7 linked regions of the Sus scrofa genome follow. The protein of the gene in region 7 interacts with the protein of the main gene of each other region in a pairwise test. Links are inferred from orthologs where the notes say so. Each region holds a gene or a part of one and is shown on either strand. Other genes may lie near its edges.

Region 1 (3,845 bases), on a different chromosome or scaffold from region 7:
GTCCTCTCCTCTTCCTTGGAGACTTTAAACAGTAGTCTGGAAAGTAGGGGAAGTGATCAGGTGTTTGAGAGGGATAGGGCAGGTTTTTTTTCTTTCTTTTTAGGGCCGACCCGGAGGCATATGGAGGTTCCCAGGCTAGGGGTCAAATTGGAGATGTAGCCGCTGGCCTATGCCACAACTGCAGCAACATCAGATCTGAGCCACATCTTCAACCTACACCACAGCTTTTGGCAAGGCCAGATCCTTAACCCACTGAGCAAGGCCAGGGATCGAACCTTCGTCCTCATGGATGCTAGTTTCTCCTGAACCACAGCAGGAAATCCTGGGATAGGGCAGTTTTACATTCTTGTCCTGGGTGCTTCTTATCTTCCTGGGTGCTCTTTAGACATTTGGGAGGTTCCTTCTGGGCAGTGCCAGCCTGAGTGAGGCCTTGGGGTTGCTGGTCCCCAAGGCTGGCCTGTTACTGTGAGCTGGGACTAGTGGTGTGAGAACAGAAAACAAAGCTGGGATTCATTCATTTAAGATTACAAATGGGGGAAAACCATGTCCTTAATGCTTTGGATTTGTAGTTTGCTCAGTAAATATGACAATAGGAAAAGTTATTTTCAGTAAATATGTGAATCTTAATTTTTTAAAAGTCGTGAAGTGTTTCAAATATTTCAAAAAAGTACCAGAAATGGGACAACACACTTATGCCTGTACCACTGAGGTTAACAGTGAGTACATGTTTCCAAGGAGCCTGAGAGTGGGCAGAAGAGTTCATTCCATTCTTTTCTTCAGGTATTTCTTAAACCATTGTTAAAATTGTAGTGAAATAGTCATAAAGCTTTATGTAGTAAAATAGACATAGCAAAGCTTACCAGTGTAATTATTTTTAAGCATACAATTCAGTGGCATTAGTTACATTCACAGGGTTTTGCAACCATCACCATCATCATCTCCAGATCAAGCTCATGTTCCCAAACTGAAATCTTGTATCCATTTAACAGTGACTCCCGTGAACAATAATTGTTTAAAGGGAGAGGTATGTTGGCCATTGTTGACCTGATGCAAAAATAAGTGGAAGGATTTGAACAAACTCCATGGGGTTAATTGTTTGGCAGAATCCCGCCAGAATCCCCAGGCCCCTTTGAGGTGTTAATCATAGGTCTTCCTGTTGGACATTAGGATTTTCTGCTGATGGAGAGCATGAGCTGCCGTTTATTAGACTCTTTACAGCTTCTTATGGAAAGAAGAATCATGTAAGGATTTCAGTTTCATTGGCCCCAAAGTAATCATTATTTTTATTAGGTTGAAAACATGATTTTGGATAGCTTGTGGGTTTTTTTGTTGTTGTTATTCATTTACAGTTACAAAATTGCATTTAGATGCAAAGAGAAATATTTGGGAGTTTTCCTCGTGGCACAGTGGAAACTATCCAACTAGGAACCATGAGGTTGAGGATCCACCGTTGCGGTGAACTGTGGTGTAAGTCTCAGACGAGGCTCGGATCTGGTGCTGTGCCTCTGGTGTAGGCTGGTGGCTACAACTCCAATTCAGCCCCTAGCCTGGGAACCTCCATATGCCTCGGCCGCAGCCCTAAAAAGACAAAAAGACAAAAAAAAAAAAAATATATATATATATATATATATATACATACACACACACATACATATATGTACATATATATGTGTATATATGTATGTATGTGTGTGTGTGTATATATATATATATATATATATATGTATTTGAAAGGACAGTCACTAAAAATGTTAAGAAGGATTATTTCTTTTGTTTTTCTTTTTCTTAGGGCCTTTCCTGTGGCATATGAAGTTCCCAGGTTAGGGATCAAAATTGAGTTACAGCTGCTGGCCTACACCACCGTCACAGCAACACCAGATCCGAGCCTCATCTGTGATTTACACCACAGCTTATGGCAGCACTGGATCCTTAAATCACTGAGCAGAGCCGCATCCTCATGGATGTTAGTCAGGTTGGTTTCTGCTGAGCCACAACAGGAACTCCCAGGATTATTTCTTTTTTAAAAATATTTTTCTTTTTTTGGCTGCAGCTGCCGGCCTACACCACAGCCACAGCAGTCAGATAGGAGCTGCATCTGCCACTTACACCACAGCTCACGGCCAGGGATTGACCTTACATCCTTGTGAATACTATGTCAGGTTCTTAACCCACTGAGCTACAACAGGATGGAGGATTGAAAATTATTTTTACTTCCTTCTTTGCTTATCTTTATTACTGAGGTCTTTTACAGCGAGCATGTATTACTTATCCTCTGAAAAATTCTACCATGTTTGGGGCTGTAAATTCATTATCTAAAAAAATTGGATAATGAATTCACAGCCAGATGTGGAGGCTCTTGTGGAGCTGGAGGGTTGTCCACTTTCTTAGAGGGGCCTGGCAGCCAGGCCTTTCAGGCCCCATCCCTTGTCTCTGCTGATTTCATCTCAGTAAAGGTTTCTACAGCTGAGAAAGGCTAAACCCAGAATAGGTTGTACCTCACGTTATCTTCAGTTATGAAATTCTGAGTCTTTTGTTTTTGCCCTCTGAAGAGTATATGTGCAGGGGTGAAGTTCAAAATATCTAATAAAGGTCAGTACCGTCTGTCAGAAATGTGGGCTGCAGCAGGCCCTGGAGCCTCCAGCTGCCAGTAGCCAGTAGCTGGCACAGTATTTTGTGCTGCCTTGTGAGTGTTGGAGGGAGACTGGGTAGAGGCTGCTTAGGGCAGTTGCTCCTTATCCCAGCTCAGCCACACATCAGCCTGGCATATGTAACACACGAGATTGAAATCAGTGCTACTCATTTACTGAAAGCAAAAAAGGAAGTAAAATTCTGTGCTAAGAATATTCCAAGATGTTATTCTTCCTTTTCCTGCTCCATTCCTCGCTATTCCTACTCAGAAGACAGAACAGCCAACATTGTCCTCGGGAGTCGATCATCCCCGTTTGTGCTTTTCTCCAGCCTTGTTTCTTTGTGTTTCAGGTGGTCATGTTGGCGATGTACAACCTGTCTCTGGAAGGGAGTGGAAGGCAAGGCTACTTCAGGTGGAAAGAAGATATCTGTGCATTTATTGAGAAGCATTGGACTTTTTTACTAGGGAATAGGTAATGTGATTGTAAAAAACTTTATACTTGAATGAAGATGCAAAGGATAAAGTTTGTGAGATTTGAGGCACCCTAATGCAAGCCTTTAGAGGATGCGAGTATTTACTTGTGGCAATTACTGAGTATTTTTTAATCCAAACAGTTTTGTTACTTTAAGTTAAAAATCAGAGTGGGTGTGTATAAAATTACAAATCTAGATTTCGATACTTCTTAATGCTACTTTCAGAGGAAATTGCTGGTTTCTACTGAGCAAGAAGACATTTGAACAGATTCTTAGGATGTTAAAAAATAGAGAGTTTGATTAAATGAGGCTGTTGTTGTTGTTTTTGGCTGTTCCCACCACGTGTGGAAGTTCCTAGGCCAGGGATCAAACCCATGCCACAGCAGCAGCTTGAGCCACTGAAGTGACAATGCTGGATCCTTAACCTGCTGAGCCTCTCGGAAACTCCAAATGAGGCTGTTTAATAGTTGGTTGATGGAGTTTCTTTTGTGACTTAGTTGGTTAAGAACCCAACTGGTATTCATGAGGATGCAAATTTAATCCCTGGCCTCACTCAGTGGGTTAAGGCTCTGGCCTTGCCACAAGCTGTGGTGTAGGTCACTGTGCAGCTTGGGTTTGGTGTTGCTGTGGCTGTGGCATAGGCCAGCAGCTGCAGCTGCAAGTCAACCCCTAGCCCTGGGAACTTGCATATGCTGCAGGTACAGCCCTAAAAAGAAAAGGAGAAAACGGTTGAGTGACTAACT
Region 2 (3,845 bases), on a different chromosome or scaffold from region 7:
TTTCATCGTGGCTGTCAGTGCTGGTCCCTAGTGGGTCATCATGAGGTCTCCGGATTCTTCCCATTGCCAGAAAGGGGACAGTTGATCCAAAGAATGGGCTCAGCGTGTAAGACTGCAAATTTAACTCTCCTTTTCTCATCTCTGAGGTGGGCATGGCCATCCCTGGAGGGGACGTGGCTGCTGCTTACGATGACGTGCAGGCTTAGGGCTGCGGTTGCACGTGGAGGCCACGGGGCCAGAGAAACCCCGCAGGGCCTCCCCTCCGCTGGGTGACTTGGGAGAGTCACCTCCTTAAATGTTTATTGCACCTGCTCTGCTAGCCAGACTCAGGAGTGAACAGGCAGGTGAGGCCCTGGCCCCATGGAGCTGCCTTCCGGGGATGGAGAAGGGAGCAGTGACCAGATGCTGAGGGCCGGTGACGAGTGCTGTGGCGGAAGCCCCATCTGCACAGTGGGGTCATTGGGACCCAGTGGAGCGGGTGCGGAGAGCGCCACGGGGGCGCTCTGAGAGTGGAGCTGGCGATGAGGGGCCTGGAGGGGGCGTTGCCCCCCCCCCGGGTCCCAGCCTTCCAGTCTGCCTGGCTCGTCACCAGTGCCCTCTTGTACCTCTCCTCCAGAGGCACCCGAATGCCCTGTCTTTTCGCTGCTCGCTGGCCGACTTCCAGATCGAGAAGAAGATCGGCCGAGGCCAGTTCAGCGAGGTGTACAAGGCCACCTGCCTGCTGGACAGGAAGACAGTGGCTCTGAAGAAGGTGCAGGTGAGCCCACCGCTCCGTGGGGGCAGAACCCCATTGGCAGCCGGCTCGTGTCTAAACACTGTACTTCTGGGCTCACCCTGTCCCTTCTCTGTCCTTCTGTCCCCCTCGCCCTCCCCGCCCCACTCTCTCCCGTTCCTCTGTAAGTGAGGGAAATTAGTACCCACTTCGCCCACTGGGCTCTGGGAGGATCAGGTGGAGTGAACCATAAAGGAGAAGAGCAGTGAGCATGCGCTGAGCACCTGCTGTATACTGGGTGGTGCCAGAGCTCCCCGAACCTTGACCGCAGTCTTCTAGGTAGGGATCACCATCCCATCCTTCAGAGGTGGTGGGTGACCCAGCAGGGCCCAAGGGAGCTAAGGGGAAGCCGAGACGCAGCTCTGCAGCCAGCTGGCCCTCTCTGGTCGGTTCTGGGCTTCTCTGGTGTTGGTTCTTAGTGCCAGGATGGGTTCTGTGGTGGGGCTGCTGCAGGGACCACCTCCTGTGTCTTAGCAGGTGCTGGGAGGACCCACGCGGAGTGAACACTAAAGGGGCTGGGGCGTCAGGGGCCGTGTACTGTACCCCCTCTTCCTACTCAGTCCACACAACCGCCCTATGAGCCCAGGCTGTTGGCCCTATTTACAGAGGTGAAGACTGAGGCTTCAAGCGTGTTTTCCTGCCTGCCACTTACCAGTGCATGACCTCAGCAAGTCACTGCACTTCTCTGGGGCCTCGCTCTCCTCCTCTGTAAGTTGGTGACCGTATCTCCTGCCTCATGGGAGGTACAGTGATGATTCGGTGAAAACCGCCCCTGGCAGGTAGTAAAAACTCAATAACCCAAATCATTGTCCTTATAGGGTTCCCTCAGCAAGGAGGTGGGAGAACCCGGACTGGGGGTGCTGGGTGCTAGGTTTTAACCACTCTTTCTCTGTTTTTTTTCTCCCCCAAGATATTTGAGATGATGGATGCCAAGGCCAGGCAGGACTGTGTCAAGGAGATCGGCCTCCTGAAGGTGAGTGGCCTGGGCCGAGTGGGAGCCCCTCACTTCCATGGGCCAGGCTGGGCCACCGCATGGCCATTACAGCCCTTAGCCCGTTAGGTAAAGAAATGACTTACTTTAGAGAGGCAGCAGCTTGTTCATTTTCTTGTGGCTGGGCGGGAACTCCCACCTTACTTCTGCCCAGTCCTCAGGGTGCCCCCAGGCTGGCTGTCCTTGTCCCACGTGCATCCTGGATGTGGATGGGAGAGCCTGGAATAGCCCTTGCCCTAAGGCAGCCAGATCACGTGGCTGCTGCAGGGGAGGCTGGGCGTTGGGTGGGACTGCAGGTTGCCTGTCTGTCTGTCTCCTTCTCTCTCTTTCTTTGCGCTCAGCCTCATTCTCTCGTACTCCCACGTGGCGGCACACACATGTGGCTATTCAGCCCCAGCGTGCTCTCTCCACCCCCATCCTCTTGCTCCCCCCCCAGGAGATGCTCTCTGCTGGGGAGACTCCCACAAAGCCTGCCTGGGGCGCTGGGCAGCATTGACAGCTAAGCCCGTGACCCCAGGTTCTGGGGGCTGGAGGGGTCCAGGATCCCGGTCCCTGAGTTGTCAGCCTTTTGGGCTCTCGCCGGGCCTCCCACAAGGAGGAGGCAGGGTGCACAGCTGGGGAGGGGTCTCCCCAAGGGGGTAGCTGATGCGCCCGCCCCTCTGCAGGCGGAAGTCCTTGGTTCAGCCAGGGCACGGCTGACGGACATGGTCCTGTGATGGTGGCGTCTGGGGCCCTTTTCCCCTCCCCTCTGGCTTCCCCGCTGGGGTCCTCAGCGTCAGAGATAACGGAACTTTCTGGATGAGACTGAGCCTGGGGCTGCTCTCCTGGCCATCGTCCCTCCTCCCCAGGCTTAGGATCCCGCCGGAGAACTAGTCGGTGACAGAGGAGGAAAATGCGTATGGGATTTGGAGGCCCCAGAGCCTGGGTTCAAACACCAGCATCCTCATTTACAGGCTGCGTGACCTTAAGCATATGCTTTAACCTCCCTGAGACTCAGTTTGCCTAGCGGCTCCATGGCGAGAATACCTGCCTCAAAAGATACAGGCAGATTGAGAAGATGAAATAAAATCGCATCTGAAGCGGGCCTGGCGCAGTAGGGCACACAGTAGGCGCTGACTTGGTGTCCTCCCCTCTTCCCACGAAACAGAGAGCTTGCTTGGTAGCTTCCTATAAAGGGGGGGCTGCTGGTGGCAGTCAGGCCTGGGCCTCTGCCTCGGGGACCCCCAGACAGAAGGGGAATAGACAGGGCAGCAGATGGTGACTGTCCACTGTGATGCCAACTGACCCGGGGACCCCAGGAAGACCCTTCAGAGGCCAGACCCCCGTCTCAGAATCCGGAAGACTGAGAGGAGCCTGCTGCAGGAACCCCGACAGTGTGGCTCGGGGACGGGTCATGGTGGCCTTGAATGCCACACTCAGGATTCAGAACTTGAACGTGGGAATTGGGGGTGAGGCTGAAGTGACCAAGAGCCAGGAGCTGGAGCCAAGGGGAAGCTGTGAGTGCTCACTGGGGTGGCCCCTGGCGGGGATGGGTCCCAGGGGCAAGGCTGGAGGCAAGAGGCTCTTAGAGAGGTGCCCACAACTCCAGCTATCACAGGTCCAAATATACCCTTCAAATCACAAATCACACTTTTTTTTTTTTTTGGCTGCACCCGTGGCAGGTGGAAGTTCCCAGGTCAGGGATCAAACCTGAGTGACAGCGCTGAGTCCTCAACCCAGTGAGCCACCAGAGAACTATCAAAAGTCACCTTTTTAAAGTTTTATGAGATGGTCAACTTCGGGGCCCGGTTGTGACCTCAGGGACGCTGATCCCCCACCCCGTCTCCCCATGTGTGTCCAAGAACACACATGTGCCACTCACACGAGGAAAGAATTGTAGGGTGTGGGCACTGAGCCAGCCTGTGTGGTCCCTGGGCACAGAAATGTGTGATCAGGGCCCCACGTGGCCATGAACTGGGCTTGACTGGGGAGGGGGTTCGAGACTCCCCCGGGCTGCGGTGCTCCTACGTGCTGTCAGCTGTGGGCTTTGGGGCCTCTGGGGGTGGACGTAGCCCTTTGCTCACTAGCTGCGGGGCTATGGGC
Region 3 (3,845 bases), on a different chromosome or scaffold from region 7:
CATGGATACTAGTCAGGTTCTTAACCTGCTGAACCACAACGGGAACTCCTGTATGCTGATTTCTTTTCAACCTACAATAAATTTCACTGAACTGAAATTCCTGGTCTGACCATGAGATCATGGACCATTTGGGTCCCAGCTTCTTGAGGATTAGAAGCTACTAGCACACATAAATAAAAATGACAAAAGCCCTACTTTGGTGGGACATGAGAAATCAGGAACCATCTTAGCTTTCTGCTTATTCACAGAATAAGACCTAGCAGTGTCCGGCACACAGTAGGTGCTCAATATACTTAGGCAATGAGTGAGATACTGAAAGAAAGGAACTGACTGAGATAGAGTCAAAGGAAGCTAGAACTTCTCTGTGGAATATTTACTTACCAGTGTGTCAATCTCCTCCAAGATCTTCATAAACTGCTCGATGGTGGCTTTTATTCTCCTATCAAGTTTGCAGAGAGCTTCTGCTTGCAAATCCTTGGCCAGAAAACCCTGTGGAAGAATGACACATCACTGCAAGGGTTCTCTGAGGCTGGTGAAAACGCTAAGCCAAGCAGCCACAGCCCAGTCCACACTCCCCAACAGGCTGGGCCAGACGTCAGGCCCACAACTTCACCTCTTGGGAAAAACAGAGAAGCTAGCCCTGAGCCACCCCAAACACTGCCAATAGGCTGCTGGCCATTCTATCTGACGTGGCACACTGAGGCTGCAAATGCCCCAGGATGCCTGGCTCTGGCAAAGCCCCTGTCACCAGTGTATACTCATATACAAGAGGCCCACACAGAAGAGGCAGATGTTAAAAGCATAGGGTTTATGGAGTTCCCGTTATGGCTCAGTGGGTTAAGAACCTGACTAGTACCCATGAAGATTCAGGTTCGATCCCCGGCTCCAAGTGGGTTAAGGATCTGGCATTGCTGTGAGGTGTGGTATAGGTCACAGATGGGGCTCAGGTCTGGCATTGCTGTGGCTGTGGCATAGGCTGGTAGCTGCAGCTCCAATTCAACCCTACCCTGGGAACTTCCATATGCCACAGGTATGGCCCTAAAAAGCAAACAAACAAACAAACAAACAAAACACAGGGTTTAGAGTTTGACAGGCCTGGGCTTTAATCCTGACTACTCCTCAGCATGGCCTGTGATTTCGAGCAAGTTCCTTAGCCAGTCTGTGCCTCAGTGTTCTCATTTTAAAATGGAGATCATAAGCAATGAGATTCTGCTGTATAGCACTGGGAAATAAATCTAGTCACTTATGATGGAGCATGATAATGTGAGAAAAAGGAATGTATATGTGTGTGACTGGGTCACCTTGCTGTATAGTAGAAAATTGACAGAGCACTGTAAACCAGCTATAATGGAAAAAAAATAATAATTAAAAAAAAAGTTTCCTGGAAAATAAATAAAGTGGAGATCATGATGCCCACACCCCAGAGGGTTACTGTGAGGATAAAGAAAAATACATGTAGAACTTTATTTTTTTTAGGGCCACACTCACGGCATATGGAGGTTCCCAGGCTAGTGGTCGAATAAGAGCTGCAGCTGCTGGCCTATGCCACAGCCACAGTAACATGGGATCCAAGCCACATCTGTGACACACACTATAGCTCATGGCAACGCTGGATCTTTAACCCACTGAGCAAAGCCAAGGATCGAACCTGCATCCTCATGGACACTAGTCAGATTTGTTTCTGTTGCGCTGCAATCAGAACTCCAACTTTTTTGGGGGCTGTGCTTACAGCATGTGGAAGTTCCAAAAAATCAGAAATGGTCAGGAGCTACCATTGTGGTATAGGGGAAACGAATCTGACTAGGAACCATGAGGTTGTGGGTTCGATCCCTGACTTTGCCCAGTGGGTTGAGGATCCAGCATTGCCATGAACTGTGGTATAGGTCACAGACACAGCTTGGATCCTGCATTGCTGTGGTTGTGGTATAGGCCAGCGGCTACAACTCTGATTGGACCCCTAGCCTGGGAACCTCCATATGCTTCAGGTGCAGCCCTAAAAAGAAGGAAAAAAAAAAAAAATTCAGAAATGATCAAAAAAGGAGTTCCCATTGTGGCTCAGTGGTTAACAAATCCTGCTATGAACCATGAGGTAAGGTTTGATCCCTGGCCTTGCTCAGTGGGTTAAGGATCCAGCATTGCCGTGAGCTGTGGTATAGGTCACAGACGCAGCTTGGATCCCGCGTTGCTATAGCTCTGGTGTAGGGCGGGGGGCTACAGCTCCAATTAGACCCCTAGCCTGGGAACCTCCATATGCTGTGGGTGCAGCCCTAGAAAAGACAAAAAATAAAATAAAATAATAAAAAAATAAAGAAATGGTCAAAAAAGATTTATGTCTAAGGATGATTGCACATAATGGTAAAAGAATACTGGGTGGTAAGTAATAGAGAAGTGGTTAGGTAAACCATGATACATTCATATGACATAATATGAAATATGCAAATTTTGAAAAGTGTGATCACTTTTTTCCAGTTAAGACTTTTTTTTTCTTTATTGAAGTATAGTTAATCAATAATGTGTTAGTTTCAGGTGTACAGCAAAATGATTGGGTTAAGTATGATCATTTTTAATAACATAAGAAAAAGTTCAATTTTTTAAATGAATAAAAGGAATTTAAAGGGTTCCTAACATGACACCAATTTTTTTTTTAACTGGAAAAATAGATTCCAGTTTTTAGTAACAGTCATCTTTGAGTTAGGTCTTAAAGGTAATATTATTTTCCATTCTAGTATACATATGTCTATTTAAAAGTAAGGTACAATCAGCATATATGAATTTTGTAATGAAAACACATATATATCCATTAATGTTATAAAATGAAGGGGTCAAAAATACGTATGTGGTTTGGGCCTGTTCCTAATCCTTATTTGGTTTCATTACTCCACCTCTAATATTAGGGGAATTGAATAGGATGACCCCACCACACCACCACAAGATCATGCTCAACTTGGACCTTCTTTGAATCAACTGAGAGAAGCTACTTATTCTATTTCAGGCAATGCATGAACCTAGCACAGCAGGTGTTCTGCCAGGAGCACAAATGGATGCTGGCTGGGGTTTGGAAATAATAATAATAATAACACTTATAAAGCACTTAGTCAGAGGCTCAAACTATGTTATTTAATCCTTATAACAACCCTAAGAGGGAGGTACCATCAATACTCCCTTTTTACAGAGGAGGAACATGAGACAAAGGCGAACTTGCCCACTGTAACAGAAACGGTAGAGCCAAGATCTGAATCCAGGGAGTTGGACAACAAAGGCATCCTTGTAACCACACATTTGTATCTCTAGAGAGTTCACATAAAAGGAAGAAAGTCAAAGTCCACAGACAGATTTACCTGCTGGATTCCAGTAAGCTCTTTATTCAACTCTTCCAGTTGGTGAGCTATCTTCTCCACAGATCTCTCCAAATCTTTCAGCTTTTTTAGTTCTACTTCTTCTTCTGAACTGTTCTAAAATATGTAAATTATTATTATTGTTGTTGTTTTTGTCTTTTTAGGGCCGCACCCTCGGCATAGGGAGGTTTCCAGGCTAGGGGTCCAATCAGAGCTATAGCCACTGGCCTACACCACAGCCATAGGAATGCAGGATCTAAGCTGCGTCTGTGACTTACACCACAGCTCATGGCAACACTGGATCCTTAACCCACTGAGCAAGGCCAGGGATCAAAAAACTGCATCCTCATAGATGCTAGTCATGACAGAAACTCCTAAAATATTTAAGATTAAAATGAAGTCAATAATCACCAGACAGGTACCTTCCTCCACTGTTGGTGGGAATGTAAACTGGTACAACCACTATGGAAAACAGTGTGGAGGTACCGCAGAAAACTAAATTTAGAGCTC
Region 4 (3,893 bases), on a different chromosome or scaffold from region 7:
GGTGGCTCCGGCCCCCTCCAGCTGACTGTCCTCCTTGGCCATAGCCCGCATACCTGGGGCCGCCCCGAACAGGCCCGCGCTGCGGGAGCAGGTAGACCGAAGGCCGCGTCCCCTCAGGAAGTGGACGTGTGCGTGGGGGCGCTGCTGGCCGAGCCGGAGGTCACATGACCCCGTGGAGGGTGGCCCGGGGCGATGGGCTGGGGGGGTGGGGTGACCCCGACAGGAGCTGTGCACTGGCCTGTATCGGGGGGAACCTGCCAGGCAGGGTTCCCTGCCAGGCCCCTCCCCCGCCTTGGGATGGGGTGCAGATGAACTTCCGCTTCTTTGGGGGAGAAGACAAGACTTTTATTTTCATTAAAAAAACAAAAAATAGAATGTCCTTCTGGCCTCGGCCGCAGGCTCAGTGACGCTGAGGGCAGCAGTGCTGGGGCGGGACGCAGGGTACAGGCCTCCCCCCGGGAGCCCCAGGCTAGGGGGCAGGAAAGAGAGCCGGAGGCTGCGCCAGGTCCCAAGGCGGCACTGTGACGGGGCTCCACTGTCCCCACAGCCAGGGGTGGGGGTGCTGCCAACAAGTCCCCGGGGCAGGGGGTGGGGGGCAGAGCCTTGGTGCCGCTCCCATCCTGGTGGTGGCAGCCCCATGCCAGGGCTGAGACTTCTCGCTCCAGGGTTTTGGGCTCCTGGAGCGGCCAGCGGGGGCTCCCCCCGCAGAAGGGAGCAGGAGTGGGGGGGCCTGGGGCTGCGTCAGGAAAGACACTCACGTGGCTGCTGCCGCCTTTCGAACGTAAGCAGGTTTGTTTCTTTAATTGTGTGTGTGCGTTTATACTCCTCTTTATTAGTGGATAAATATTAGAAAATCATCTCTCGGAAGGTGTGGGCAGGGGTGGGCTGAGCTTGCCCAGCCGGCCGGGAGCGGGCCCTTCGGGAGGCCCTGGCCGGGTCTGCAGGGTGAGGCTGTCCCGCCAGGGCTCGTAGACCAGCGTGTAGCTCTCCGCCCTCTTGACGGTGAACCTGTAGGAGCGGTTGGGCAGCAGGTTTCGGACGGCGACGGTGCAGGCGGCCACGGGGATGGCCCCGCACTGTGTCCGCTCCTGCTGGGTCCGCGGGTCCAGCAGCTTGAAGCGCAGCTCGAACTGCTCTGCCGCGGCCGGCTGGATGGTGACAAACCAGCGCAGGCTGACCCAGTCCTGGTGGGCCACCGAGGCCTTGCGGTCAAACACGACGGGCATCTTGGTGCTCAGCATGAGCCGGATGTGCGGGACCTTGGCGGCGCCAACGTCAGACACCAGGCGGTGCTTGATATGCAGGCGCCCTGGCACCATCATGGCGAGGAAGCTGTCCATGACGGCCGCCAGGTCCGCCAGCCGCTGCTCCACCAGCCCCCAGCCCGCCAGGAAGGGCCGCGGGTCGGGCGACTCCAGCAGGGCGTCCAGCTCGGAGCGGCCGTGGTCCAGCTGCTCCAGCAGGTCCCCGAGCAGCAGAAGCTGGATCTTGGTCTGGGCGGTGCCCAGCTTCTTCATGCGCTGGAACTTCCAGGGGTCGATGAGCTGGAACATGGCAGAGGGCAGCACCAGCGGGTTCTGGTCGCCCAGAGCCAGGTGCTTGGGGAGGATCTCGATGTAGTAGGAGCACTTGCGGAGGAGGTCCATGCGGGCGTGGTGGCGCCTGAGCAGGTGGGGGCTCAGGTCCGAGGTCAGGAACTCGCGCAGAGCGTTGCGCCGCTCCACGTAGGTGCGCCAGGCCTCCGGCTCCAGCAGCTGCTGATCCTCGGCCTCCTCGGCCTCCTCCTCCTGGTCCAGGAAGGACTGGGGACAGTCCAGCTTCATGTTGTCCAGGCCCAGGCCTGATACCTGGAAGTTCATGGTCTGGGAGCAGGGGATGGAGGGCGGGGCGTGAGCTGCAACAGTCACACTGGCCTCTGCTGCCCACCCGGGGGCTCTCTTGGGGCAGCGTTGGTGTGGGGGGTGACTTCAGGCCCACTGACCCCCCGGCCGGGCCCTCTGTCCTCCCTGGCCTGGGGGGCTGGTGGTGGGAGGCGGGGAAGGAGTTTGGGGTGAGGGCTGGTTTCTGGAACGAGGCTGTCTGGAGGGCCAAGTGGGCAGGCTGCCCATCTGGGTCAAAGTGGACTTGAGGGTGTGACACTCTGTTGATGGATTGTGATGACACAGGGCAGGGCAGTGACCGTGGGCTCTGGGCCAGAACCCCCCACGGGGAACCCCCACGGAGCAGCTGTGAGGCCACATCTGCTCCCCTGGGCAGTTGGGAGGACCCAGGGCGATCCTGTCTGAGCAGCACCCGAACCCGTGGGGACACCTCTGTGCTGCAGGCCCTCCCTGCCTCTCTGTAGGTGCAGAGCCGAGCTCAGGGAGGTGGGTGGCCCCTGGCCTCACCCAGGGGAATAATCCTGCCAGTTCCCGGGCCCGGCTGTGTCCTGGGGCCTCGGGCGCCTTGCTGAGCTGACTCCACAAGCAAAGCCCCAAATGGTGAGGTCTTGGCACCCTGCCTCACAGAGGGGGTGCATGGGGCTACAGAGCTCGCTAGCTTGCTCTCCGTCCAGGCTTTGCCGCAGCCACAGACGCCAGAACCCGAGTCTCCTCCTGCACCCTCTCCCACGCGGGCTCCCAGCTGAGTGTCCAACGATGCCTGGTGAACCCACAGCTGGGCACGGCTGTGGCCCCAGTCCCTGGCCACAAGGCTGGGGCTCCCTGGCTGCTGTCCCCGGTCCCAGCTGGCCTCCAGGTCAGTGAGACAGACCCAGTGGCTTCACCTGGGTGGGAGAATCCCTAACAGGAGCTGAGAGGCTGAGCAGCCATCCAAGGCTGCACGGTTAAGGTGCAGAGTGGGCTCGGGACCCAAGTCGGTCTCCCTCCCCAAAGGCCAGGCCCTGACCTTCCAGGGGCAGAGGCGGCGGACCAGGCCCTGGGCACTGCAGAGAGGATGTCTGGGGTGAGTTGCCAACCCAGACCAAGACCCCTGGACTCCTGGCAAAGTCCTGCGCTGGCTGGAGCCTGGGACAGATTCATGCCGCCTCCAGAGGCTCCAGATCTGGCTTCAGTTCAGAGGCCTCGCCAGGGCCCAAGTCTCTAGCTGGAAAACCGCAGAGGGGCCGCTGGGGAACTCGGGGAAGAAGCCGCCTGCCCTGGCCCCTGGCCTGCCTGTCCACACCTACACCCCCCCACCCCGACCCCCACCCCCCACCCCTGGCCTCAGACCCACTTCCCCTCAACCCGCCCACTTCCGCCACAACCCCCTCGTCCTCCAACCCCCGGCCGCCTCCCCGCGCGCCCAGCCTTCCCGCGCGCACACTTACCCGGCCTCCCGGCGCCGGCGGAGCAGTGCGGTCCGACTGTGTGTGCGTGCGGAGCCGCCGGTTCCAGCCTCCCGCCCGGCGCCCCGCGAGTTGCCATGGGGACTTTGTGACGCCCCGACCGCCCGGGGAGGGGGCGGGGAGGGGGCGGGGTGGGCGGGGAGCCAGGGCGCGGGATCGGGGGTCCGGACTGGAAGGCTGGAAGAGTTGCAGGAAGGTGCGAAGATTGCGCGGGGCGCGCCCCCCAGGCCCAGGACCCGGACCGAACAAACCGCTTGTCCCGGATGAGTCACCAGCCCCGTCCCTCGCCCTGGTCTCAGCTTGGACAGAACTGCCCAGAGGTTTCGCTCCCTTCCCTGGGAACCTAAGCATCACGACCTCTGCCCCAGCCGGAAATCTCCTCAAGCCTCAGGACATCCCTGGCGCCCCCTCTCCCTTGCAGGTTATTGGTGGGGACCCTTCCAGGATAGGGCGCCTGTCCCTGAGGCCCGCTCCCAGTCTGTTCGGTGACAGAACCTCTCCGCACGGGGGCCTCCACCCCTCCCGCTGACCTCACTCGGCTTTTGCCCCTAAGCCCCCACCAGCCTAT
Region 5 (4,463 bases), on a different chromosome or scaffold from region 7:
GAATCCCAGGTCCGCCGCTCCCGAAGCGTACACCTTAATGCTCGCCGCCTCCTCATTGTCATCTGTGCAATGGGCTGATCGTGGCACTTAACCCAGAGTTACTGAAAAGAGCGACCGAGAGGATGTGTATAAACTGCTTAGACTCTGCACCTGGCGCATGCTAAGGTCTCTCTCTGTGTGTTTAAGAAATACATGATCTACACGTGTGACTTGGAACCAGTTAATCCCCTGAAAGGCCCAGACTTGTTGAGTCATCGCCCTGGAACACACAGCCTAGACACACGGGACCCTTTTTGTCCCTGGCCAGCAGTGGGGAGGGGCGGGGCAGCCGAGTCTGTCCCCAGGATGGCTGGTGCATTCACTAAGGTGTTCAGGCCACCAGGAGACAGCCCCTCTTCCCTGTCACCAAAATTAGAACCCTGGGCCCTGAAAGATACCCCGGATCCAGGACTCCTCAGGGCTGTAAAGGGCCCTTTAGATGGGGGTGGGGGGCGGGTGCTGAGACCCTTTGGAATGGGGAGAGGGCCGGCAACAGCCCAGCTCACTGGGCAGCCTCCCTCCTCTAGAGAGCTGCCCTTCCTCGGCGGGCTCTCCGGGGACGCCGGCCGCGTCCTTACCTGGCTCCTCCGGCGTCCTGCCTGACCTTTACTTAAAGACCAGCTCTAGCGGCTGATGGGTTTTCGCGGGTCCCGGAGGAGACCCTTCAGACGGCTCGAGCCTGGCGCGCTGGAGAGAGCCCCCTAATTGGGGCAATGAATCACCGAGCGCGGCTCCCGGCTGGACACAAAATAGATAGAGGAGCCGGCGAGCTATTGTGCGCAGTTTGGGACCGGGGGGGGGGCGGGGGGGGGTTGGGAGGGAGGCAGGGAGGAGGAGGTGGTGGAGGAGGAGGAGGGAGGCGGAGGGGAGGGAGGGGAGGGAGCGCGAGGGAGGGAGTCCCCCGCCCGCCGCGCTCCCGCCCTCCCGCCCTTCCCCTCCCCTCCCCTCCCCTCCCCTCCCCTCCTCCCTCCTCCCCAATTAAATGACCCAACGCTTTGGCAGGCGCCGGAGCTCGCACATGCGGCTGCCGCTCCAGCCGCCCGGGGCCCGCCGCCGCCGCTGCGTTCCGGGCGCGCTCGCCGCGGCGCCGCCGGGGGCTCGGCCGGCCGGGGGGGGCGCCCCTGCGAGCGGCCGAGCGCCCGCGCCCGCGCCGGCCGCCCGCCGCCAAACTTTGCGGCGCGCACACATGCTCCAAGTTGGGCGCGGCGGCGGCGGCGGCGGCGGGCGGTGAGGGCGGCCCGGGGCGCGCGGGGGCCGGCGCGGCGCGGCCATGAGCGGGCGGCCGGCGCCGGTCTCCCGCAAGCAGCGGCTCATGGCAGCCGTGGGCGAGCGGGCGGCGGGCGGCGGCGGCGGCGCGCCGCTCTCCTGCTTCATCTGCGGCGGCGGCATCGGGCGCGGCAAGGAGCTGAAGCTGCAGGTGAAGCAGCCGGCGGCGGCGGCGGGCGCGGGGGCCCCGGCGCAGCCCTTCTTCCCGTTCCTGCAGCAGCAGGAGCCGGCGCCCGGCGCGCGCGAGCTGTCCCCGGCCGACGGCTGCGTGCTGGTGTGCGCCGTGTGCCGCTGCTTCCTGGGCGAGCAGTGGGCCGCCTTCGAGCGCGCCCGCACGCCCGTGGACAAGCGCATGTACTGGCTCAAGCGGCCCCACCAGTGCGACGCGGGCGCGGGCGGGCGCCGCGGGGGCGCCGGGGCCCCCCGCGAGTGGAACGTCGCCTACGCGCTGGGCGGCGCGGCCGACGACGACGAAGACGGCGGCGGCGGCCCCGGGCCCCGCGCGGCCCCCGAGGAGCCTCGAGATTCCGAGCTGTCGGAGCTGTCGGACACAGACCCCTTCTCCGAGCCCGACCCCGCCGCGCGCGACGCCGCCAGTCCCCGCCAGGACGGGGCGCCAGCGGCGCGGGCCGCCCCCGGGCCCGGGCCTCGCGGGGGCCGCTGCCCGGAGTGGAGGCCGGCGCCGGGACCCCCTCCGGGACTGGGCGCGGAGACCCCCACGCCGGGGGACCTGGAGGACGACGGGATCCCCTCGAAGCTCCACGTGGACGGGGAGCCCAGGGCCGGCATCCGGCGCCGGCGCAAGGGCGCTGGGAGGCCCTGGGCCCCAGAGGCCCGGGCCAGCGTCCTGAGGGGCCTTCCGGACCCTTGGCAAAGGCCTCCGGTCCAAGGCGCCCCTGCAGAGGGCGTGAAAGGAGCCCCTCTGGGCAGGGCCGCCAAGACTGCCGAGAGCAAACCGCTGGCGGAGACGCGCGCTTCTGAGGACAGTGACGTCAACATCACCAGCGAGGAGGAGGACCGCAAGGAGCAGCCTCTCCCAGGCCCCTGCTGCCCCAGAGACCAGGACGCCGCTGGCGGGGGCCGTGCCCCCCGGGCTCCCCTGGAGAGCCGGGCTGCACCACCAGAGGGCCTTTGCTGCTACATCTGTGGGTGTGCGCTGTCCCCGGCCTCGCAGCACCAGATCCACGTGCAGAAGCAGGAGAAGCTGGCCCAGGCGCCCTTCTTCCCCTTCCTGTGGCTGCACAGCCCGCCCCCGGGGGCGCAGCCCATCAGCGAGGGTGGCAGCACCCTGGTGTGCCCCTGCTGCTTCTCCTCCCTCATGCAGCAGTGGCAAAGCTTCGAACTGGCCAACGTGCCGGTCCTGCAGCGGCTCTACGTGGTGCCCCTGAACAGCCACGCTCCCGGCATGGCCTCCAAGGGCAGGAGGCTCCCCAGGGAAGAGGGCCCGCCTGCCGGGGCCCTGCCAGAGGCCTGCTACCTCTGCGGGGAGGACTGTACGCGGGATGCCCGGGCCGTGGCCTGCAGGACCCTCAACGGCAACGCCAGGGGCTCCATGCATTTCCCGTTTCTCAGCCTCCTGCCCTGCCCGCCCAACGCCCAGGGCCCCAACAAGCGCTGTGAGGTCCGCAGCTGCCCCAAGTGCTTCAGCGTCCTGGAGGACGTGTGGGCCCTGTACCGGGCCTGCCAGAACGAGGAGCTCATCACCTCTGTGCAGGGCTTCTTGGGCCGGTACCACCAGGCCTTCTCAGCCTCGGACCCTGCGCTCTGCGAGCCGCCCGCCTCGGCCCAGGGTGGCCCGGCCTCCGTCTGCTACATCTGCGGGGCCGAGCTGGGCCCCGGCAAGGAGTTCCAGCTCAACGTGAACCCCTCCAGCCGCCTGGGCGAGAAGGAGCCCTTCTTCCCCTTCCTCACTGTCTACCCGCCGGCCCCGCGCGCCAGGCCTGCCGACTCCACCGGCCTGGTGGCCACCTGCGTGCTCTGTTACCATGACCTGCTGGGCCAGTGGCTGCAGCACGAGGCCCGCAGCGCCCCCCACGCCATCAGCCCCTGGTCACGGCAGTACCAAGTGGAGATATTCGTGTGCTTCTTCTGCCAGCAGGAGAAGAAGCGGTGTCTCGGGCTCAAGGCCGTGCGGGTGGCCCGGCTGCCCTTGTTTCTGTACACCCTTCGAGCGAGCCACAGCCTGCTCGTGGACGATGGGCGACAGCTGATCATCGGCGCCTGCACGGAGTGCGGGACCCTGGTGTGTGCTGGCCAAGGGCTCACCCGCCAGGGACCCACGGGCTGGAGCTCCCCAGGGGCGGCGGCGAGGAAGGTAAGCAGCTCCGTTCTCGTGTCCTCCTCTGAAACCCGAGCAGGGAAGGAGGCGATGTTGTTTTCTGCACCGCTGCTGGAGAGGAGAGGGGTTTTGCGCCCCGTGTGGTCCAGCAGGAGGGGCGCTCCCCCTGCCCCAGGTCACCCGGCCAGGGCTCAGTGAGCACGCTGACCTGGTTGAGCTCGGAAGCGTGTGACAGGCCAGAGGAGTTGGGAGGCCAGGAGTGGCCTCGTGGAAGAATAGGGCAGTACTGAAAGCAGCAGGCATGAGCCTGAACTTGAGTGTTTGCAGCGGAATCTATCAAACAGAGGAAGTTCGGGGCACGTCTGTCATCCGCCTGATAACATTGGTAATTAGTCCAGCCACGCAGGTCACCGAGAGGTCTCGGCACTCACCCGGTTTGAAACACATCAGAGGTGGAAGTTCCTCTCGACTCTCACTCCCACTCAGTGTAGCTTTTCCAGAATTTTCCACCCAAGTTCACACTTTCCCTCTGAGGCTCTCTGGTTGCTTAAGAGCAGATGGAGACAGATTTCCAGACGTGGGGGTTTGGGACCCCGGGGACGGTGGCCTAAACAGACGGTTTCTCCCCGGTGGGAAGAGAGTCTTTCTTCTCTGCAAGTCAGCTGTGCAGGGGGAGGGTGGGAGGCCCTGTTTATAAGGCGCCTCCCTTCACGCTGCCTGCCCGGGAGGAGCCAGACGGGGCTCCGTTCATTTGGGATCCGGCTTTGCAAAGGCTGAGGCCAGAACTGCCCCCGCGGGTCTCGGGAAGCGAGTTGTGCCCACCGTCACGGCCACTGGAGCCATGAATTCTCATTTCCACCAAAGCCGGTGACACTGGCTT
Region 6 (3,845 bases), on a different chromosome or scaffold from region 7:
TCAGTGCCTACTCAGGAGCCAGTCCTGGTTCATCAATGGCACTTTCTAGCTGTAACCTCATATGGCAGAAGGGGCCAGGGGACCTTATAAGAGCATGAATCCCATTCATGAAGCCTCTGCCCCCATGACCTAATCGCTTCCCCAGAGGCCCTGTCTCTTAGTATCATGACATGGAGAGCATTAGGTTTCAACACAGGTTTTTTTCTGACCATATTTAATCATGTCAAGGTTCAGGCTGAACTTGATACTTGGACCCTATCAGAACTAAGTAATATTCCCCCCAAGGTATGACCTCATACATAGGTCCACTTGGGCTGGACAGCTGATTGTAGTCTGTGGGGAGCTGCAGCTGCTGCTTGTTATGTTGGATGTGAAGGGTTACAGAGGGTCTTCCCTTTCCAATCTGAGTGGCAGCTGACATGGGGTACCATCACAGGGACTCCCACCTCAAAGTCTAGCAAGGTGCCAAGCTCCCTTGCCACCTTCCCCTGATCCACTTTTCTCCTTCCTGGTCTCTGTGGTTGAGGGGGTGAGGCCTGGGAGAAGCGAGGTGACCCCAGAGATTCTTCTGAGTGTTTGATTGTGGCTGTAATGTGTGTGCCCATTAGAAGACAAGAAACCAGAATCGCTTTAAAGGAAGGGCTTTATGTGGTCTGTGTACGTGGTCAGACAGGACCCCAGGCAGTTCCGTGATGGCCACGCTGGGATGCTGGGCTGGTGTGTTGTTCTGGGTCCCCACACCAGCAGGCGTTATTGTTCCCGGGGCAGTGGTTGGTTCTCCAGAGGATCTGTTGAGGAAGAGTGACTTCTTCAGTGACCCTTGCCCCATAAGCAGATAGCCCCTGGGGGAATGGGATGAGACCTTACCCCTCTGAGGCAATGTATCCCTTCCAGTCCACCCAGAGTATCTACGTACCCCAGAAATCGACATCATCGTATACCTCTGTTTCCCTGGTGGAGAGCACAGTTGGGTCAGCAAGGGTCACCCTGACCCATGACAACCCCCACCCATCAGGGCCAGTACTCACAGGGGCAGGAGAGCTGTTCTGGGCACGTAGCCATCTGTGAAGAGAGAGCAGGGATGGTGAGTTCTCTCTTCCTGATGGTGACCCATCCTCCAGGGCTGCCTGGGTTGAGCTCACTCACACTTGCCCTTGGTGTCCCGGCATAGCATCTCCTCCTTGCTGGTGAACTCAATCACCTCCAAGATCTCCCCACGCCGAATTCCCAGATGCTTGCCACCCCCACGTCGTGTTTTGGCATTGGGGTCAATCATCATCCTAGTCAGAATCACGATCTCCCCCTCAAACTGGGGAGGAAGAGGTTAGTGTTTTCGCCTGTGCTGCCACCCAGAGACTCCCCGGCTGCTTTCTAAGGATGGAATTCACTGGGCCTTGGTCAACCGGAGCTGAGCCCAGCCCTCCCAGGACTCTTGCTTTGCGTGGGGTTCATACCTTGAACTTCTTCCGGAACTCCCGCTCAGCTTTCTCTGCCTTCCGGATCTGCTTCAGGGACTTTAGGTCCTCGGGTGGTGACTGCTGTTGCTGGGGCGCCTTCTTCCTGAGCCCCTCAAGGAATTGGGTGCTTGTGAGCAAGATGTGCTTCTGGGAGACACCCCTTTACTGTCCTCCCAGGGCTCAGCCCCGCCCTGCCCCACTCCCTTTGCCCTGTGGTACCTGGGCTCTGGGTCTTGTGGCCTCTTGGGGGATTGCTGGGTAGACAGCACTTCATCTGGGACAGTCAGAATGCCGACTTAGGGCAGGGCCCCTTGGTTTGGTCTTTTGACCTACTGGCTTGATCTTTCCTGTGTTAATTCTCATGACAGGGGGTAGGGGAGTGGGCAGTGGGGGCCCTCCCCTCCCCTTTCCCCAGGCCTTTCTCATGGGTTGTGAGTTCTCTTTCATTTTCTTAACTCCTATCACATGTTAGGTGTGGGAGAAACTGTTTATCCCTCATGTCAACTCTATTGATGACTGTCATCCCAACTTGCTCAGGATGAAGTAAGGGTTCAGAGAGGTAAGAGAGTCTGCCCAAGGTCACCCAGCTGTTAAAGGTAGAGGCAGGATTTATCTGTGAGCTTTTGATACTGTTTCACTCCTGCCTGGTAGAGGAGGTAAGGTTTTGGGAATTGTGATGTGGGTCAAAAAAATAAGTCAGGAAGAAAAAACCCATTTTCTAGAAAACAAAGGTCCACCTCTGGAAGGAGCTGTTGGGAGGGGTTTCTTGGGTTGGCTTGGCTGATAATGAGACTCTGGACTGTACAGGTCTCCTGGGTGAGGCAAATAGCCAGCTTTCCAGGTATGAGCCCTGCTCGCCCAGGGTCTGGCTTACAGTGAGACCCTCATGAACCCCAGGTGAGTGAAGGATCCAGAACCTGAAGCCACCAGCTTTTTGCAGTCCTTTCTGGATAACTGGACCTTTCAGGCCAGCAGAAGCTCCCCTCGGACTGCCTGATGGGTATTTGCATGGCACGCTCCCACCCCTCCAGGTGCTGTGCTGGATGGCCTCCACCCACCGTCCCCCCCCAGAACACTCCCTCTCAAGCTCCTCTTATCTCTCCCAGATATTCACTCAGCTGGGAGCTGGGAGTGGACTTGACTTCACCCTAGAGCCCCTACAAACCTGCCGCAGCTGGAGAGCTCAGGGCAGGGCAGACCCTGGTGTGCCCATGTCCCCAGCCTCCTGGCAGTGAGATCCTGAGCTATCTGCCCTCAGGTCCTGGGAAAGAACTGGGCCGGACCCCTCCAGAGGATCTGTTCAGGGAGCCTCTAGTGGAGCTGCCACTGCTCTGAGTGAGGCATGGGGGGGAAGCCCAGAGTTCCTTCCAGTTGGGGACAGACTTGAAAAAGGCAAAGCAGCCCTTGGGACAATCCATACCACCAGTGAGCTCTACTCAGTGTCTGGAGAAGGGAGAGGAGGTCTAGGGAAGCTCGTGGTATCTAATGGCGATCTCGAACAACTGGCATGAGATGGGGAGATGGTTGCCCAGTGTCTAGGATGGTGGGCAAAGGTAGGGATGTGCCCAGTCTGGGGTTGGGGGTGAGCCATGCCTGCAAGGCTGCTGGAAGTGGAGTGGCCAGAGGTACTCCTGCCACACATCCACATCCCCAAGCGTGGCCCGAGCCACAGATCCTCGCTGGGGCGGAAGCAGGAGGGGCCCTGTCAGGAAGCTCTTTGCTAATCCGGGTGTTGCAAGCAGCCCCTGGGGAAAGCCTAGGAGAAGCAGCAGGGGCCTGGGAAGGAGTAACAGCTGTTGAGGCAGCAGACTTTGAGGAGAGGGCTGGTGGGGAAGGAGCAATAGTATCCAAAAGGCACCCTTGCAGGAGACCCAAAGACAGGGCAGGGAAGCAGCCTGGGAGCAGAGGGCTGGGCTACCATGTACTGGCCGTGTGAGCTCTTGGGGCAAGTCACTTCTTGTGTCCTCTAGCTTCCACTTCTGTAGTATGGGCATGACCCCACCTCGGGGGTCGTGCACATTCTGGCAAAGTGCTGGCACAGGAGCCATTTTTGTTTGTACATGAGGTTGCTGAATGCATTATCCTCACAGCTACGGCTGAGTGGCCTCCGTTCTGCTCTCCAGGAGCAGAGGCTCAGAAGAAAAGAGAAGGGTCCAGAGTGCAGAGAGTTGCCTGGGACTGCAGACCCAGGGTCTGTCACAGCCTGTCTCCAGCCTGTGCCTCTGATCTCAGGCTCAAGTCCTACACGTCCCTCAGGCATCTCCTCCAAGACCACAGATCTAAGATGGGTCCTGATGCCTATCTTACTCTGTACCCAGGTGCAGGCTCAAAATTTGGGCCCCATCCCTGTCATGAACTCTCTTGCTCTTGTCCTTGGTGATACACCAC
Region 7 (4,533 bases):
GAGTAGGAGAGTTACACACGTGGTTGTAGAAGTCCCAGTATGGGAACATAGATAGAGAGGGAAACCTAGGGAACTTTAGAGACCACTGTAAGTTAACAATCGCTCCAGAAAGCTATTAAAAGGACAAAAGACAAAAAGCAAGCAAGCAAGCTATCAGGACATCAGGGAAGGAAGCAGGCTCGCTTAACTATAAAACCATAAATAAAAGCACAAGATATGCCTCAGGTCATTAAGTGAAAGATAAAATGAGGCCTGCACTCAAGTTCAGCAAGATAATGCTCCTTAGGGCTAAGGACTGGAATGTAAGGGAAAGATAATATTTCAAAATAGGAGACCCTCACTCTATGGAAACCTGAGATTATTCAACATATTTTAGCATATGTTACCACCCTTCGGCTGATTTGAATGAACACCAAGGCAGTCCTAGTTTGACGTCATAGGGTCAAATACTCTCCTACCCAATACAAAGGAGGAGCTAGTGATGTGAGCCTGAGGTCTACCTGAAGGATGAGGAAGAAGGTGGTCTTCTCCTACTCCCCACTTTCCTTGGATGACAAAAATGTAGCCCACCGAATTCTTGGAGAAAAGCCTCCTCACCTGCCTCCTCACAAGCATCTTGTATCTTAATAAATCTATTTCTTGCCCATCACTTTGCCTCTCAATGAATTCCTTCCTTCTGCCCTGAGGCACAAAGAACCTGAGCCTCAGTAAGTCCAGACACCAGGGGAGTGATTCTAATTAAAAAACTGTGGGTTCAAGTCCCAATCTGGGTTTAGCCTGGGTTTGAGTCGGAGGTGTTTTGGTTTCAAGTGTTCTACACAAGGCAAAGTTAAAGAAAGTCTAGATAGAAAATAACCAAGTACTAGAATTTCAGGTTCTACGTGAACATGGGAAGCCTGCTGGTAAAGAGAGAGTGATGTCGCCAGCTTGTTTGGGTTAGGAGTAGGCCTTGTAGAGGGCTGCAGAGAGTATAGCTTGAGCCAGAGGCAGAGAGGGAACTGAAGCTCAGAATGGTAAACCATTCTGCTTAGGACAGTAGGAAGTAGCAGAACTGGGCTTGTCTGTTTCTGTTACAACAATCTTGCCTTCTGATAATTAAGCCTTTCTTTTCCGAAACAAAATTGCGACTGCCTGTTAATGGGGTTGTTAGACAAAGCTTCTCACAGACTGGGTGGGGCTCAGTGGGCTACCCCCCACCCCTCCGGCCTCCCAAGGAGGCCAGATGTCTCCTCTTCCCACGCCAACACAAAGCTAGCTTTCTCTCGCCGTTGCTGAGGCCTGGGCACCAGGCAGGAAGCCCAATAAAGGACTAGGGGGCTAGGCCCAGGGCCACGGAAACTCGAGTGGGCCTGGCGCGTGCAGGCAGGGGCTACCCTGTCTCCGTCGCGCCCCGCGGACACCGCCTGCCTCGGTTACCTGCTCCTGAGGCTCCCCGCCCGGTCAGCCCCAGGGCAGCGGGCAAGGCCTCCCAGGTCCTAGGAGGGGAAAACTGCCCAGCCCTCAGGCCAGAAAATCGTGCGGCGCCGGGTGGCTCGGGCCAAGCCCCGCCCCCGCCCCGCCTCTTCCGCTCGCGCCGGGGTGGGGTCTGTGCGGCCGCCGGGACCCGCTGGGACAAGGCCACGTTGTCTCGCGCCTTCCTAGCGCCCGGCTCCTGGAGTCCGACTGGCGCAGCCTCTGGTTCGCGACCCCCTGGCGTAGCTGTCGGGCTTCGTGGGGCCGAAGTACCCCCACGTCATTCGGCTGGGCCCCGCGGCCCGACCACCCCCGGTTCCAACGCGCGGGCGCGTCTGGGATCAGGGCCCGGGAGGCGCCGCCCTCCGTCAGCCGGGCTCGCCTCCCCGCGCCGCCCCGAAGCAGCGAACGGGAGGGAAGAGCCGTAGAGTTGGGCTCCTCGCAGGGCTGGGCTCAAGGGCCCATGCCCGTGCGCCCCCGCGGGCCCGCGCCATGGCCTCCGGGAGCGTGGCCGAGTGCTTACAGCAGGAGACCACCTGCCCCGTGTGTCTGCAGTACTTTGTCGAGCCCATGATGCTGGACTGCGGCCACAACATCTGTTGCGCCTGCCTCGCCCGCTGCTGGGGCGCGGCGGAGACCAATGTGTCGTGCCCGCAGTGCCGGGAGACCTTCCCGCAGCGGCACATGCGGCCCAACCGGCACCTGGCCAACGTGACCCAGCTGGTGAAACAGTTGCGCACCGAGCGGCCGTCGGGGCCGGGAGGCGAGATGGGCGTGTGCGAGAAACACCGCGAGCCCCTGAAGCTGTACTGCGAGGAGGACCAGATGCCCATCTGCGTGGTGTGCGACCGCTCCCGCGAGCACCGCGGCCACAGCGTGCTGCCGCTCGAGGAGGCGGTGGAGGGCTTCAAGGTGAGGGCCGGGCGCGCGGGCCGGGGAGGGGCTGGAGCGCGAGTCGGACAAAGGGAGTAGAGAGCCAAAGGGGCTTCCTTTTTTCCGCCTAGAAAATGGCTGAGCCGGACGTGTGGTTCACAGCCGTCATTTCCTCTCTGTCTGCTCCAGAGCCTCGGCACTCAGATTTGGGAGGAAAACCTGTAGCTGGTGAGGAAGCCAGAAGTCTCCCCACCCCCACTCTTCTTTCCTTATGTGCCCCTCTGTTTCCCCGCTCACCGGCACGGCCCATGGAGACCCCCTTCCCTTGACTGTACAAAAGGAATGCGTAAAACCATGTACGCATCTGCAAGCTTCAGAGACACTCTTACTCCTGATGGCTCCTAGATGATCTCAGACACGACACAGTCGGACGTTAACTGGCTGTATACACATCTAGCAGATGGCCATCACCTCTCCTTTCCCCACCACTTCCCTATGCTCCATCTTCTTCTAGAAGCTCACGGAAAAATGAGCTCCTTACTGCTTAAGTCAGTTAACCACCGTGAGACTCAAAGGAGGTAACACAGTTATGAAGATTGAGTGAAGTGAGCTGATGTGTGGATCCCTTTGTAAACTCATGAAACAGCAGACGGGCGCAGCTAAACAGTAACATGGAAACAAAGTATTAAATATAAAACAGTTGTAAGGCAACATTCAAGGAGTGCATGATCTGTGTGTTTGAGGACTGCAGGAACATGTACATGTTTGACTGTGAGTACATTCATGCAAAATTATTCACTTAACATTTATAATGCTTTCACATCATTTTACTCACCCTGGTGATAACCCTCCAGGAGGCTGAGAAAGCGGTGTTTGCCCATGTCAATAAGAAAATAAGAGCTGTTAAATCTTCTCAGTATGCGACTGTGAAAGAGCGACAACTCAAAGCCACCTAGTCCAGTCACCTTTCCACTAAGCCGTGGAGTATCCTTACCCACCATTTAAGATACAAACTACCAAAAGAGAAGTGTGGTGACCTCTGTGCCCTGGTGACGGCAGTGTAGTCCAAGGACGGACTCTAACCAGGGACTTGGCATCAGAAATGTGGGTTGCACATGTGATAAGCAGAGTAGCCATATTGATGCTAAGGTCTGCCTAATCTTGAACTGCCCAACTGTTTTTGCTTTTCTCAGGAGCAAATCCAGAACCAGCTGGACCATCTAAAAAGAGTGAAAGACTTAAAGAAGAGGCGTCGGGCACAGGGGGAGCAGGCACGAGCTGAACTCTTGGTAAGACTCGATACACAGATAATGTCAGTTCTGCTGGTCACTCTTTTTTTTTTTTTGCAAGGCTTGTGCAGTCAGGTCATCCAGGTTTGGGTGGAACAAGCTTACATAGCAGGTGAGAATTCACCTGGAAAACCAAGAAATTACTACATTTTGGAGGAAAGGTGGGAATAGCTGAGTTTAAAACCCCTGGAGATAAATTTAATCCTCTAGCTTTGTGTAGACCATGATTGATCCTTGACAAAGCTGATACAGGTGAAATTCTTGGGTGGTTAGCCTCCTTTGGTACCATTCTGCAGACAGATGGTTTTCCATGAGCCCGACAGTTAACTTCTTGCTAGAAAGTTCCTTTTCTTGGCAATGTTTCAGTTCTAAACTTTTCACTTTGTTTCCTTCCCCTATCATCTCAAGGCCTTAGCAAGTGGCTGATGTGCTAATTTGTGATAGGGATGTTTGGGGGTTTTGTTCTGAAAAACGAGACAAAAATATGAAGATTTTTATAATATATACTTATATGTCCAGCACCTAGGTGTTTTCAGTATCTTTTTGAACAATAAATAAAATATTACAAATTCTCACTCATTAGAAGTATTTGCATCTGAAAAGCAAAGTCTTAGACTAGTAGTGTCTGGCACCATCTTGTGAGAAATTTTGTCAGTCCCGGACAGGGTATAGTAAAGAATTTTTGGATTTACTATACCAAAAATAGTATAATGAAACTTACTCTCACGATGCCATAAAATCCCATCACTTGTTTTGCACACAAAATCCACTGAGACGTCAGCTCCCCTGCTTGAAAATAGATCTGATGGGTGGAGAATCTTCTGGTAAACTTGAGTGGACTCAAATAATTAAGCATACAAATCAAGGTTATTTGAGGACCATTGTAGACATTTTGGCTGTGTGCTCCAGATCATCCTCC

What was found.
Region 1: the proteins of TRIM27 (region 7) and KAT14 interact in binary tests that used the Homo sapiens proteins (3 or more experiments, as listed by UniProt). The two-hybrid records come from large-scale screens. The link is inferred for Sus scrofa from reciprocal best matches to the Homo sapiens genes TRIM27 and KAT14.
Region 2: the proteins of TRIM27 (region 7) and NEK6 interact in binary tests that used the Homo sapiens proteins (3 or more experiments, as listed by UniProt). The two-hybrid records come from large-scale screens. The link is inferred for Sus scrofa from reciprocal best matches to the Homo sapiens genes TRIM27 and NEK6.
Region 3: the proteins of TRIM27 (region 7) and BAG1 interact in binary tests that used the Homo sapiens proteins (3 or more experiments, as listed by UniProt). The two-hybrid records come from large-scale screens. The link is inferred for Sus scrofa from reciprocal best matches to the Homo sapiens genes TRIM27 and BAG1.
Region 4: the proteins of TRIM27 (region 7) and FNDC11 interact in binary tests that used the Homo sapiens proteins (3 or more experiments, as listed by UniProt). The two-hybrid records come from large-scale screens. The link is inferred for Sus scrofa from reciprocal best matches to the Homo sapiens genes TRIM27 and FNDC11.
Region 5: the proteins of TRIM27 (region 7) and GSE1 interact in binary tests that used the Homo sapiens proteins (3 or more experiments, as listed by UniProt). The link is inferred for Sus scrofa from reciprocal best matches to the Homo sapiens genes TRIM27 and GSE1.
Region 6: the proteins of TRIM27 (region 7) and PRAM1 interact in binary tests that used the Homo sapiens proteins (3 or more experiments, as listed by UniProt). The link is inferred for Sus scrofa from reciprocal best matches to the Homo sapiens genes TRIM27 and PRAM1.

Annotation. Positions count from the first base shown.
Region 1 is NC_010459.5:26,491,133-26,494,977, forward strand, and holds part of KAT14 (cysteine-rich protein 2-binding protein), read left to right. Parts: intron 1-2,979; coding exon 2,980-3,101; intron 3,102-3,845. UniProt on the Homo sapiens protein: Component of the ATAC complex, a complex with histone acetyltransferase activity on histones H3 and H4. May function as a scaffold for the ATAC complex to promote ATAC complex stability. Has also weak histone acetyltransferase activity toward histone H4.
Region 2 is NC_010443.5:265,133,907-265,137,751, forward strand, and holds part of NEK6 (serine/threonine-protein kinase Nek6), read left to right. Parts: intron 1-616; coding exon 617-757; intron 758-1,682; coding exon 1,683-1,745; intron 1,746-3,845. UniProt on the Homo sapiens protein: Protein kinase which plays an important role in mitotic cell cycle progression. Required for chromosome segregation at metaphase-anaphase transition, robust mitotic spindle formation and cytokinesis.
Region 3 is NC_010452.4:33,233,785-33,237,629, reverse strand, and holds part of BAG1 (BAG family molecular chaperone regulator 1), read right to left. Parts: intron 3,453-3,845; coding exon 3,339-3,452; intron 490-3,338; coding exon 382-489; intron 1-381. UniProt on the Homo sapiens protein: Co-chaperone for HSP70 and HSC70 chaperone proteins. Acts as a nucleotide-exchange factor (NEF) promoting the release of ADP from the HSP70 and HSC70 proteins thereby triggering client/substrate protein release.
Region 4 is NC_010459.5:62,556,650-62,560,542, reverse strand, and holds FNDC11 (fibronectin type III domain-containing protein 11), read right to left. Parts: upstream 2,250-3,893; 5' UTR 1,860-2,249; coding exon 855-1,859; 3' UTR 582-854; downstream 1-581.
Region 5 is NC_010448.4:3,654,487-3,658,949, reverse strand, and holds the start of GSE1 (genetic suppressor element 1), read left to right. Parts: upstream 1-1,385; 5' UTR 1,386-1,657; coding exon 1,658-3,619; intron 3,620-4,463.
Region 6 is NC_010444.4:70,809,583-70,813,427, reverse strand, and holds the end of PRAM1 (PML-RARA-regulated adapter molecule 1), read right to left. Parts: intron 1,732-3,845; coding exon 1,677-1,731; intron 1,569-1,676; exon of another isoform or gene 1,561-1,568; coding exon 1,455-1,560; intron 1,310-1,454; coding exon 1,147-1,309; intron 1,063-1,146; coding exon 1,029-1,062; intron 952-1,028; coding exon of another isoform or gene 917-951; intron 789-916; coding exon 605-788; 3' UTR 569-604; downstream 1-568. UniProt on the Homo sapiens protein: May be involved in myeloid differentiation. May be involved in integrin signaling in neutrophils. Binds to PtdIns(4)P.
Region 7 is NW_018084804.1:137,707-142,239, forward strand, and holds the start of TRIM27 (zinc finger protein RFP), read left to right. Parts: upstream 1-1,562; 5' UTR 1,563-1,944; coding exon 1,945-2,364; intron 2,365-3,518; coding exon 3,519-3,614; intron 3,615-4,533. UniProt on the Homo sapiens protein: E3 ubiquitin-protein ligase that mediates ubiquitination of various substrates and thereby plays a role in diffent processes including proliferation, innate immunity, apoptosis, immune response or autophagy.